2 linked regions of the Caenorhabditis elegans genome follow. Changing the gene in region 1 together with any one later gene gives a genetic interaction. Each region holds a gene or a part of one and is shown in the gene's direction. Other genes may lie near its edges.

Region 1 (8,098 bases):
TCATCATCTTCTTTTCAACTCGTCGGTTTTCTTCATCCGCCTCCTTGTACGGCATCATCCCGAAAAGAAGTTTTTGTTGCGTGTCAAGGCCGTGTCGTCTCGATCGGTTGCGTGCGCAATACTGTCCATCCTAACCTTATCCGTATGTTGTATCTCTCACTCTTCCTCTTCATCTTTTTCTCTCACTTTTCACCTCCTAGCACACTGAACCAATTAACTGTCTCTCTCTCACAAATGTCCGAGTGTATCATTCCGGATAGAGGTAGCCAGCAGCTATTGCTGGATCACCAATGTTTTCTCTTTCGCTTATTTGCTTATTTGACTTTTACCTTTTGGATTCCACCTCGAGAATGGCCTAGTTATCTTCTTTTATCAAGTACATACACATCATTCCTCACATTCTTATTTGAAAATTCAGCCATCTATGCGTTTTCTTATACTTTTCAGATCCATTGTTGTTACGTAGAAATGTATGCGAACATTCCATCCGGTCGAGGCGCCCGAGAGGAGCATCTTGCTCGAATTTTTTGTCACGGTATTTTAATGTCGTTATTCATGTAGTCTTTCCATTATATATATTTTTCAATTTGAATAATAAAAATCACCGTAGAAACATATAAAAATACATATGTATTTGAAAATCTCGAGAAAGATTTTAAAGAATGGTGGAAAGTTGGCATTCGCCGAAACAATTTTAACTGCAGTTCTCTCGGCAAGTTTCAGGTAGTTTTGAGAATCTTTTCTAGCATGCTATTTTCAAACTAGACAAATATTTTTTCTATATTTCACCATTTATTTTTATTTCAGTTTTGTTCAATTTTTTAAAACAATTACGTTTGAAATTTTTGGTTAACCTCGTTGCATTCTACCGTACCCATCGGTTTCAATTTGTTCTCAGCTGACAACCATAAACCTTATCTTAATTTTATTGTTTCGGACCTGGTGTCATAAAATCAAGTAATTTCACACCTAGTCTTACTTTTGTAAGAATATACACCGCCCTTCGTCAGTTTAGCCTTTTCAATCTTAGTCTGACCTCTGTGAGCGGGACGACACACGAATAAGAAGAAACCAATCGTTTTTGGTCATTTCTCTCGTTTCATTCCCTGTTTTGTGACATAATCTGTTCCTCAGACACTCTTCTTCCACCTCGATCTTCCTAAATCTTAGAGTTTACAAACATTTACAATAGAATGAGAAGGTCATTTCTGTATTCTCCCATTGTCAGTTATTCCCTTTTTTCCCATCATCTGAAAATCCTCTTTTAACAGTTAGTGGTCATCCATGAATCCATGGTAATTTCTGGCTTGTTTGCAAAAAGTGAAAAGCAATGAGGTCGACGCGCACCGGTTTCCGTTTTTGGTTAACTAGAGAGATAGAGGGAACGGTTGAAGTAACTGGATGGCATAGACACAATGAATAGGATAGGGTTAGCCACACTTCACTTATCATTGGATTACGAATAAAAGTACATGCGAGATTCACGATTTATGGTTGAACCGAATCGTTTCTCGAGGGTGAGAAGCAAAGCAAATACGTCATTCGATTAACAGTTTATGATACCTACATACATCAAATAGAAAATGATTTACTGTAATTGATATGATCACATCAATATCTCAACTGCCATCAGAGTTATAAAAAGTTGTCAATTGAGAGACTGGAGCGGAAAACATGTACATTACTTTTTTGAAAAATCTCTTTGAACACAATGTGCATTCTCTTATTCATATTCATAAATAATCGAAACTTCGGGAATAAATTGCTTTATTTGTTGTATAGGTTCCAAAAACATATTTTAAGCTCTACATATGCAGTTCATAAAGTTCAAAGCACGAAAATTCTCCTCACTTCACGGAATTCGAAGTTTTTCTCCCCAAATATGATGTACCTAAACTTGTTTATCTAACCACTTTCTCCACTTATTCGTGCTTCGGAGGAGCTTTCTCTTCCGCTTATACCTCGTTCTCCCCATTTCAATTCAAATGACCCGAAAACAGTCTCGTCTGTTCATAATCTTCCCTTATTTTGTTCCGTATCCACCAATCTCAATTCTTCATTTTCTTTCCATTTATTTTCCTAATCTGCTCTCTTCAGTAAATGCGACATCCACTAATTTCTCTACTATTGCTAATAGCATTCTACTCTACATCGTCAGAAGGTGATTCTTGAAAGTTGAACTTTCAATTAGAATTTTTTGGTTTTTTTCCAGCATTCGTTCCAAAATGTAACTCATTTTATGTTCGATGGCCTCGAGTTCGTCTCAACTTCAAGGCAGTTGCTGAAGCGAGACTTTCATTAAAAGGGTGTCAATCCGCATGTTCACTTGGAGAAGATCCAGTCAGTCCAGGAAAACAATTAGAGTGTGCTGCAGTGAATCATCAAGCATCTCCAGATGGCTTTTCACATCTTTGCGCCGTTTTCCAGCCGCATCAACTACAAAATGTTGACGGTTATGTTGAGGCGGATGATCGATTCACATTCTACTGGAAATATTGCCTTCCTTGTGAGTTTTTGTTCAATAAGGAATGAGATTAAGTTATTTCAAATTTCAAAATTAAATACAGTTGAAGCTCTTAAATGTCATTTAAAAATAAAAATTTGTAATTTTACAAAATTAGTGTTTTCTTGGTAGGCAGACATGTTTCCTGTCCAGTATTTTGCGCCTATGTGGGAGCTTTCTAAAGTAGAAGAAAGTCTCATAAATTAATAAAATATTCCTCAATTCTGGTTTCAGAGCTATGTATATTGTATATTTAGTTATCATTTTTACAAACAATTAGGCTGAATGCAGGCGTAGGTATTTTCAGGAAAAAATGTGAAATCCATTTGAAGCCATTTTTTAATTTTTTATTATTTTGTACTTCAAAATCCTGATTTCTGGAATGTTTTTTTTTATATTAAAAAAGTCAAACTGTTTTTTTTCAGCCACTCGAAAATGTTCTGGAGAATACGCATTCACATATCTTTCGGATCGTTATATGGATCAAAAGTCAGTTATAAAATGGACAACAAAAGCAAATTTAGAAGAGTGTCTTTCGGATTGTTTGGATGAAAAATCATTTGAATGCCGTTCAATCTCCTTCAATAGAACAGACGGAGGATGTCATATGTCTAAGGATTCACAAATTTCACGACCGGAAGCCATTCGATTGAACAATAACCCCAACTATCGAATTGATTATTACGAGAATAACTGTTACAATTGTAAGTGAATTGGAAAAGAAAAGTATTCATTTGAAGTATTTTCAGTATCCGAATCATTCACATTCAAACATGAATGTCGTGATAATGGAATCTCAGTCAGCGTCAAGTCTCGTCTTCCTTATACTGGAGCCATTTATGGACTTTATGACTTCTTCACTTGTCGGACTGAACCAAAAGAAGCCACTGAATTCGATCACTTTTTCCCATATCAGACTGTCAGCAAGAACTGTTCGGATTCTATTAAGTACAAGGTAAGATCAGAAAGTGTCCAAAACACATAATTTGCCAAAAAATGGTTTAAAAAAATTACAACTATGATCAAACATTTTTGAAAAAGATTTCTTGGTCTGAAAAAAAAACCAATTTTGTTTGTGCCAATATCGTAGGTTATGTTTTTGTGTCAAACTATCATTATTTTTGCATCAAGTCATTAGGGCGGCTAATAAGTTTGGACGTATTTCGTCAATTTACGGTTTTCCTCAAATTTTATATGGGTGACTTATAGTAGGCAGTGAGTATATATAAGCATATCAGTTTCAGCTATTTTAGCCAGCTTCTTGGTACTTTGATCTGAAAAAATTCAAAATTTTTTTGAAATTTTTTTTTGCGATTTTTTGGGTTAGGCGTCAGAGTTTTGATATTAGTATTTAAATCAATTAAGTTTTGTTTGTAGATTACAAAAATTGAATCCCGACTTGATTGGACCACACCCAAAACTTTTATAGCCAATCAAAGTCAAAAAGTGAAGTGTACTAAAAATTTGTATCTTTTCTTGAAATTTCAAACTAAAAAGTGGATACGTTTATCCAAGTAAAACATTTTATAACCAATTTGGTCTGTTCAAACCTCCTTTTCGAATTTATGAGTTTCAACTTTTACAAGATCTGGGATGTTCAAAAGACCGTTATGCTATTTTCCAAATTATATTTTTACAAGAAAGCATCAAATATTATAAAATTATGTTTGTTTCTACTGTATTATCTTTGTTTTTCATATGGTTCCAAGTTGTCTACCAAGAAAAAAGATTTGAACTTTTGATCAAAAAACTTAAAGTTTTAGGAAGTTAGTTTGTACAAAAAAAGCAAAAATTAGTGCTCACGTGAAAGAAACAGGCTTCAATTTATGATATTTGATGCTTTTTTGTAAAAAAATAATTTGGAAAATAGCATAACGGACTTTTGAACATCCCAGATCTTGTAAAAGTTGGAACTCATAAATCCCCAACGGAGCCTGGAACTGACCAGACTTGTTATAAAATGAATTACTTGGATGAACGTATCCATTTTTTAGTTTGAAATGTTAAGAAAAGATTGAATCTGAAAAATTACAAATTTTTAGTACACCTCACTTTTTGACTTTGATTGGCTATAAAAGTTTTGGGTGTGGTCCAATCGAGTCAGGATTCAATTTTTGTAATCTACAAACAAAACTTAATTGATTTAGATATTAACATCAAAACTGTAACGCCTAACTCAAAAAATCGCAAAAAAAAAATTTCGAAAAAATTTTGAATTTTTTCAGATCAAAGTACCGAGAAGCTGGCTGAAATAGCTAAAACTAATAAGCTTGTATATACTTACTGCATATTATAAGTCACCCATATAAAATTTAAGGAAAACCGTAAATTGACGAAATACGTCAAAACTTATTTGCCGCCCTAATATATTCTCATGATATTTTTCAAAATACAAATTTCCAGGGAAACGAAATGGTACTTGAAGTTGTCTTATCTACTGATGGAATAGAGCCACTTTATTTCATTACTCCTGAAGATTTGACATACCAGGCAAAATGTCCAATTAGTGGTGTAAAAGCAAAGGATCCCGCTAACACAAAATCCTCGGCTCATTTGGATAACAGGTAAAACTTGCTAGAATTTATTTATTAGTTGTTTTATTTCATTTAAATTTTTTCACTCCTAATACAGAATTAGTTTGAATGATTGTTTGAATGATTAGTTAAATATGTTTAGAAACAAGGCAATGGAAGCATCAGCGCATGCATTGTTTGAGTTACTCTCGAAAACTGGAGATGATGAAGCCCTTCAAAACACATTCCCACTTCCATTGACTACCACAACAGAAGTAATAAGGCAAGTTACGACTACAACCAAGAAACCATCAACTACAACTTCTACTAAAAAGTTGACGACCACAACAACCACAACCCCAAAACCATCCCAAAAACCTACCACCACTACCACCAAATCCCCTGTTGTTATTACTACTACTACAAAAACTTCCCCTAAGCCAACTACTTCCCCAAGTACAACAACTTCTACTACTACTTCAACCACAATTCCACCAAGTACTACAACCAGGAAACCAGCTAACCCTCGCAGATCCACTATCATGTCGGCAACTTCAAAAGTTGCAATAATCGTAGGAAAAGATTCAAGTTTTGCCAGAGCTCGGCTCTTTACTACAAAACATCCAAGTACACAGAAAATGCAAGTTTTTATTTTATTTGTTTCATATCTAACCATTTGTTTGGTAATTATTTTTTTGGTTTTCGTGAAAAAAATTTGTGATGTTGTTTTTTTTCAGTTTTTAATTAATAATCAAAAAAGTAAGACTGAAAAATTCAACTTTGTAAACGCAATTTTTCAATTGCGACTAATCTCGCTATTTGAATTTTCTTCAAGTTCCACAACTCCGTTTGATTGGTTTAGAAGTGAGCGTAGAAAATTGCTGATTGGTCTTGCAATTCTGATTTTGAAGGAAATTCAAACAGGGAAATTAGTCACAATTGAAAAACCGCATTTTTAAAAATTGAATTATTCATGATTTTTTCATATTAAATTCCAATATTAAACGTTTTTTGTTGTTTCAGTGATGTGCCAACTACTACCGTACAAACTTCAACTACCGTACCAACCACACCATCCAAAACAACTGCTACCACTACAACAACTCCAAAGCCAACCACTACAGAGACAGCTACAACTTCTTCATCAACAACCACAGTAACCACACAAAAACCTACAACCGTTACGTCAACAACAACATTACCATCCACAACGGCATCTACAACAACTAAAACTACTACAAGTACGCCCACGTCACCACAAACAACGACCACTCATGTAGGAGCTCCCGCATCTTCCGTTGCATCGGTGGCTCATGATGGGTAAGTATTTTAAGTTTTGTCAAACCAAAGTATATTACAACAAGGAAAAGTTATGAAAATTCATTTTTTTATTTGTTTCAAAAACGGCAAGCTCAACATTTTTGTTCTCTAAAACTTTCAAACTTCCAATTTTCCAGTTTCTCACGAGCGGCTTTTTTTAATAAAAAACTATTTTTTAAAAGTTATCAAATTTTCTGCAAAATCTCAATTTTAAAAAAGTATAATTTCAGCTCAACACTTGCCGGAAAACCAAAAGTTCCAGTGATTTTCGATATTTTCCACAACGGACAACCAGTTGAAGCCGTCGTTGTTGGAACAAAAATCAGTCTATCATTCCGTCCACACTATCCAATTCCACCGGAGTACGTAGACGTTCGTGGTTGCCAAGTTGAGCCAATTGATCCAAAATATGAATGGGAGCACGAGCCACTGTTCATCATAAGAGATGGATGTCCTGCTGACGGTGTTGGTCTCGTCTGCCCACCAACACATTCTGAGTTTGGAGCAAAAGTTTCCGTTGAGGCATTCAGATATCAAACAACTGGACAAGTACAGTACTCCTGTCTCGTGAGAATATGTCCATTTGCTCCGTGTCCGAAGGTGAGTTGAAGCTTGATTAGTGTCTAGAAAATAATAATCTTTGTCAAACAGATGGTCGCAAGTGATCTGAATTTTTAAAAGTTCAAACAAATTTCAGAACACATGCGACGACGTGGAAGGCTGTGACAGTAGCTACATGCATCGATACAGGCGAGAATTATCACTTGAAGACATCAAAAAAGCATTGGAAGCAAACCCAGAACTTGCTTCTCAGTTCGGAATTTCACCGTCCGCGTTTGCAAGAAATCCGTCGAAATCTAAAAATTTCACAAGCGTTGTTGGTTGGTTCAAATTTAGTTTATTTCCAATCCATATTTAATAAGTTTCAGAAGAACAACAAAGAATCGCACTCGGCGGAGATTATCTTGTTCGGCGTCGATTGATTGTTGTCAACTCTGAAGATCAATTGAGATATTACGTTCGAACTGGAAACATCTGAAAATACACACAAAAAATGTCTTCATGTCAGCTTTATAACTTTGTTTTTATTCTTCTTTCATTCAATTATCCAAACGCCACACGAGCGGGTCTCACATGGAAAACTCTTGGAGTTATTCTTCTTATGATTTAAGTTAAATTTTTTGATGAATTCACCATTTTGATTGATAATAAAATATTTCATCGCTTGATATTATTTTTGCAAGTCGTTGAAATACTGGGGAAGTTGTATAAACATATCATAGATGTGAACATAAAAAACTTCATAAAATTAATAAATGGTACATGGAATACAAATTAAGATAATGGCGAGTTTTTGAGTTTTGAAGACATACCAATTCATGAAATCTCTAGAATTAAGTAACCTAATAAAATCTAAAATTCATATTCTTATCATGTTCATCATATATCAGATATTCATCTCATTCTCCCCGAAAAATGCGAAAAGGAACTAAAAGCCGTTTATGTCAATCCAGATGTTGGTTTTTCATTAATAAAAATTCTCAATCTTCCGAAATAAATTAGGTCGAGGAGTTTTATCCTCAAACATTTCGATTCGTTCCCTATTAAATTCCTACATGTTCGATATCTCGATGCTGAATCAAATGTCGTGTTGACTTGTTCGACGTCGTTTACCATCATCAAAGCAGCTACCAGACAGTTAATACTAAAAATATACTGAAAATATAATGAACTAAATACCTAAATATAATACCGCAATTGC
Region 2 (4,935 bases), 740 kb from region 1:
ATTCGAAATTTTGTGTGCAGTTTTTTCTGAAATTTTCTTTTCAGTATTTCATCTATGATTTTTTTTAGAAAAATGATTTTTCAAAACTTTTCTTTCATCTCGTGGCAAGACCTATCCGAATGAATTCGTGCGCCTTTTTAAAACCTTGCAAAAAATTCAAAAACTTTAGAATCTCCGTAACAATAAAGCAAAAGAAACTTTACATTCATTAGCTAATTGTATCTAACCGTCTGCGCCTCATGTTCGCTTGAAGTCATACACTATTTCAAAGTGTACTTCAACTACAACCACCAGTACTACTATTACAAGATATTCGCCCTTTTTTCTTTTTTTTTCTTTCTTCTCCATGTGTTTCCACATCCAATTTGATTGATGGTCTTTCCCGTTTTCTCCTTCATTTTTTCGGAATGGAGCTCCTTTTTTTATTCGATTGTTCTCGGGATATATGCAATATTAGAGTTTTTCTTTGTTTTTTACGTTTCCATGTAGTATGCTTTAATCCTTTCGCATTTTTCTGAAAATATTGCTTAAAGGCGCACGTAATTTTCCGGATGGGTCTCGCCGCAAAAAAAACAATGGGTAATAAATATCACTTATTGAAGCACTTTTGGAGCACATCCATATTTTAAAAATCAATGTATGTTGTGTTATTATCACAATTTTAAGTTTAATTAATTAAAGAAAAAAATTGAATCTACCAAAAACTTTATTCGCCGCGAGACCCATCTGGCTAAATCCGTGCGCCTTCGACTACAGTTTTCAGAAAATTGAGAAGTTACGATATTGTTTAATGAACCATGCGGCGATAAATTCTTTTCGAAATTTTTTTTCAACTTCCCGTCTTTCTAGTTTAATTCGAATTCAGAATAGTATCAGTCTAGTTAATGGTTTTTGCGGGTTTTTTATTTGAAAGCATTTTAGAAAATTTTATGGTAGCGCTTTCCGATTTTTATATTTTTTATTTATTTTCATGATTATCATTCGAAATGCTGAGAATACTAAATAGCAGAAATTGCAAGAAAATTTTCAAAGAAAAATCTAAATTTGTACCATACACGTTTGTTTCTCGTGGCGAGACCCAGTCGGAGAATTGCGTGCGCCTTTAAAAACATAAAATACGATACTTTTTCGATACATTTTTTTAACAGAAAAATGTGAATCGTCAATATATTTACATTCCGCAGTATTTCGCTGTAAATGCCTTAAATATTTTCTATTTTTTTTTAATTTCTATTTTCGAAAAATACTGAATTCTCCTATTGCAACAAACTTCCATATTTAGTAAGTTTTCAACACTACATAAATGTGTATTGGAAATGAATTGAAAAATAAAGGGAAGCACGCACAAACACGAATTTGTCGAAATAAATGAATTTTTGCCCGGTTCATTGCACGCAATTCTAAACATGCAGAGAGTGGAAGTGAGAGTGACCAAAAGTTTTTTTTGTTCAATGTTCCTGGGTCTCCTCTCTTTGCATGTAGAAATGTATATCCAATATCTTTTTTTGAACATCTTTTTTCCAAAGAAATGTTTCATTGATTTTTGTTGAAACTCAAATTTTTTAATTTTTTTGAAATTGATTTTTCAGTGAAAAATTGCTCCATTTTCTTAATTATTTATTAGTTTTCAAAAAAACTAGCAATTTCAGAAGTATCAAACACTGTACTCCTTAAAGGCGCATAGCATAAACTTTAAAATACGTGAAATCGTTTCGAGAACTGGCGGGTACGGTATTTGCTATTTTAAACTGTTTTTTCTTCATTTTCTGAACACGTGTCAACACATCCTCCCACGCCTTTCAATTCTGTTATTTTTCCGTTTAAATTGTGTAAAATTGACTGTAAATTCTAAAAATTGCAGGCAAAACAAACGTCAACCGGGGGTAGAAACAACGAAAAAAGAAAAATATTCGAAGAATGCGAGAGGAGCCGACGGCGGGTACCGCTGATGCGACGCTCAATAAACTGCTTCAAGCAGCCGATTTATCAGGGTAAGAGCTGGAAAATTAAGATTATTTGCTGAAAAATGGGGTTTTCAGAAGAAAAATTAACAATTTCTGCGTAAAAACCGAGATTCAAGTAATTAAAAAATAAAATTTTCAGCTACGAATCAGATCTCCGTCGAAAACTAAAACTACGAAATGCTGCCGATTTACAATATGTCGAAGAAGTCGATTTGTTGTCTGTTGGTGAGGATTTTTTTTTTAATCTCAATGAATAATTATTTTAAAAATACCGAAAAAATCACAGTTTTGTTAGTTTTCCACTCAAAAATAGAACAATAATCTCTGAAAAAAAACCAGAATAACTTCTTTAAAATTCTAAAAATAATATTCGACAAAAAATAATTAAATTTGTTTTGTTTTTTTTTTCTACTTTCTGCCTCTAAATACCATCAATATTTACACAACGATTCAATCGAAACAAGTGTTTATTTTTCTCATTTTTCAATCGTATGACTGCTCATTTTGTGGCCATTTATTTTAGTTTTCTTTTTTTTAATTTGAGATTTTTTAAAATTAGTTTATTTTTCTCTGAAATTAAATTAAAAATTGATCGGAAATTAAGAATTATATTTCAGAAAAAAATCCGAAAAATAAACTTACATTTTTCAGGAATGAGCCGCCCGGAGCAAAAGCGCCTCCGAAAAGAATATACAAAAATGTTTCCGTCTGGAATTTTTGGAAAAGTGAAAAAAGCATTCAAAAGGGCGGAAAGTTTGGATCGAAAAACTTCGAATTCAGTTGCAAATCAAGATGATAATGATCATCATGTAATTCCAATTGAAAAGTGAGCATTTCTGGGAAAAACGTGGAGCAAAATGGAAAATTAAAAAAAATTTTTTTAAAAACTCCAGAAAAAAAGATGTTTTGGCAAAAGATCATTTTTTCAGAATGAAAAATTTGAAAAAATCGAAAGAAAATTAATTTTAAAAGTATGGTATTTTCAGAAAAAAAAACAAAAGAAATAATTTTTTTTTTTCGAAGATTAAAAAATAAAAAATTTTTAGCAAATTTTATTCCTCTTCGCAAGAATAACCACCACATAAAAATATAAGTTATCTACAAAAAAGTGAAGAAAAATATCTAAAATTTAAAAAATCTGATTTTCGTTATTGAAAATCAGAAAAATCGGAAATTTCCAAGCAAATTTGCATTTTATTTATTTTTAGGTTTTAAATTTTAATTCAAGTTTCCTAGAAAACAAACTATTTATTTAAAAATTCCTTGTTTTCAGAAAAAAGTACAGAGGTTTCGACTTTCCGAGATTTTGCAAAATCGAAGAAAACTGTGTTTGCAAATTTGACATTACATCATATTATTTTTTCAACATTGAAAAATCTCTTTTAAAATTGCTCGATTTAATTTTTCGAGAAAATTAATTGAAAACTAAAGTTACAATTTTCCAGAATAACGCTTTGCAAAGAGTTGGGACAAGGAGAATTCGGGTCAGTTTGGCAAGCAGGATGGAAGAATTCAGCAGGAAGTGACGTCATTCAAGTAGCCGTAAAATGTGTTGGATCTGATAAACTACTTGCCACGTCATCATCATTTTTACAAGAAGCTGCAATTATGACACGAATGAGACATGAACATGTTGTTAGACTATATGGAGTTGTTCTTGATACGAAAAAAATTATGTTGGTAAGGATTTAAAAATTAAAATCTAAGCCGGAACAAATCTGGTAATATTAGAATTTTTTGTATATTCAAATTTTTTGTCATAAAACCGAAAAAAAATTTCAAAAAACAATGGAAAAAATATCGTAAAATAGAGTTTTAATGCAATTTTCGATTTTGCTAGAAAAACCCAGAATAAATATTAGATTCTCGTATGCCTAAACGAAGACAAACAAAGACCATTTTTACAGAAAAAAAAAATACCGAAAATTATTTTAAAAATTGAAATTTTTTATGCGACTTTTGAAATTAAAATTAGTATTTAAAAATTGTTTTTAATAAGAAATCTCTATAGAACCCTAGAGCTTGATTTTTTGCATTTTTCATCAAAAAAAGGAAAAAAAAACGGAAAAAATGGTCCAGAACGATGTATTCTAGCCTGAAACTGTCAAACTCACAGCAAAAATTGCGCACTTCTCCTCCTCGTGAGAAAGTTTTAATGATAAAAAATCATAAATTTTCGAAAAAAATTGAACATTTCAGAATTATCTAAAAGTTCAAAAATTATAACAAAAAATTTGCAGGTCTCGGAGCTCGCAACATGTGGATCTTTGCTGGAATGCCTTCACAAACCGGCTCTCCGTGATAGTTTTCCAGTTCATGTTTTATGTGATTATGCTGAACAAATTGCAATGGGAATGTCATATCTTGAATTACAAAGACTCATTCATCGAGATCTTGCCGCAAGAAATGTGCTCGTTTTCTCACCGAAACTTGTGAAAATATCAGATTTTGGACTATCGAGATCTCTTGGAATTGGTGAAGATTATTATCGAAGTGAATTTACACCGAATCTTAAGCTTCCTATTGCTTGGTGTGCACCGGAGTGTATTAATTTTTTAAAGGTATTGCAAAAAAACATTTGCTGAAATTTACCAAATTTTAATTTTTCCCCAATTTTGAACAATTATTCAATTTTCAGACCCCTTTTTGTTCGAAAATTTCACAAAATTTCGGCCTAAACTCCGATAATTCGCAAAAATAAATATTAAAAACGAAGAAACAAAAAATTCCAATAAAATTTTCTTTTTTTATTTCAAATATTACATTTCAAACAAAATTTTAAAAAAATGTATTTTTGAAAAGTTTTATTTTAAAAAAATATTTAAAATTGAAATGTTATAAGAATTTTTAAATTCATACAAAAACCGTTTTTATAATATTTCTAAAAATCTATAAAACATAATTCTTTAACATTTTTAAATTAATTTTTGAAAAGTTCTGAATTTTTAAAATTTTCCGAAAATTAATAAAA

What was found.
Region 2: of let-653 (region 1) and ark-1, changing one enhances a phenotype caused by changing the other (phenotypic enhancement), as found in Caenorhabditis elegans (one large-scale study listed by BioGRID).

The regions. Positions count from the first base shown.
Region 1 is NC_003282.8:11,883,518-11,891,615, forward strand, and holds let-653 (Protein let-653), read left to right. Parts: upstream 1-2,097; 5' UTR 2,098-2,100; coding exon 2,101-2,161; intron 2,162-2,212; coding exon 2,213-2,506; intron 2,507-2,928; coding exon 2,929-3,207; intron 3,208-3,252; coding exon 3,253-3,458; intron 3,459-4,906; coding exon 4,907-5,067; intron 5,068-5,179; coding exon 5,180-5,656; intron 5,657-6,039; coding exon 6,040-6,336; intron 6,337-6,566; coding exon 6,567-6,936; intron 6,937-7,033; coding exon 7,034-7,217; intron 7,218-7,265; coding exon 7,266-7,375; 3' UTR 7,376-7,564; downstream 7,565-8,098. UniProt on the Caenorhabditis elegans protein: Required for epithelial tube development and shaping. Involved in the morphogenesis and function of the three unicellular tubes of the excretory system, the canal cell, the duct cell and the pore cell.
Region 2 is NC_003282.8:12,627,949-12,632,883, reverse strand, and holds the start of ark-1 (Ack-related non-receptor tyrosine kinase), read left to right. Parts: upstream 1-1,861; 5' UTR 1,862-1,917; coding exon 1,918-1,991; intron 1,992-2,103; coding exon 2,104-2,189; intron 2,190-2,615; coding exon 2,616-2,790; intron 2,791-3,409; coding exon 3,410-3,644; intron 3,645-4,204; coding exon 4,205-4,525; intron 4,526-4,935. UniProt on the Caenorhabditis elegans protein: Probable tyrosine protein kinase which plays a role in vulva development, probably by acting as a negative regulator of the let-23/EGFR and let-60/ras pathway. Involved in the negative regulation of germline development.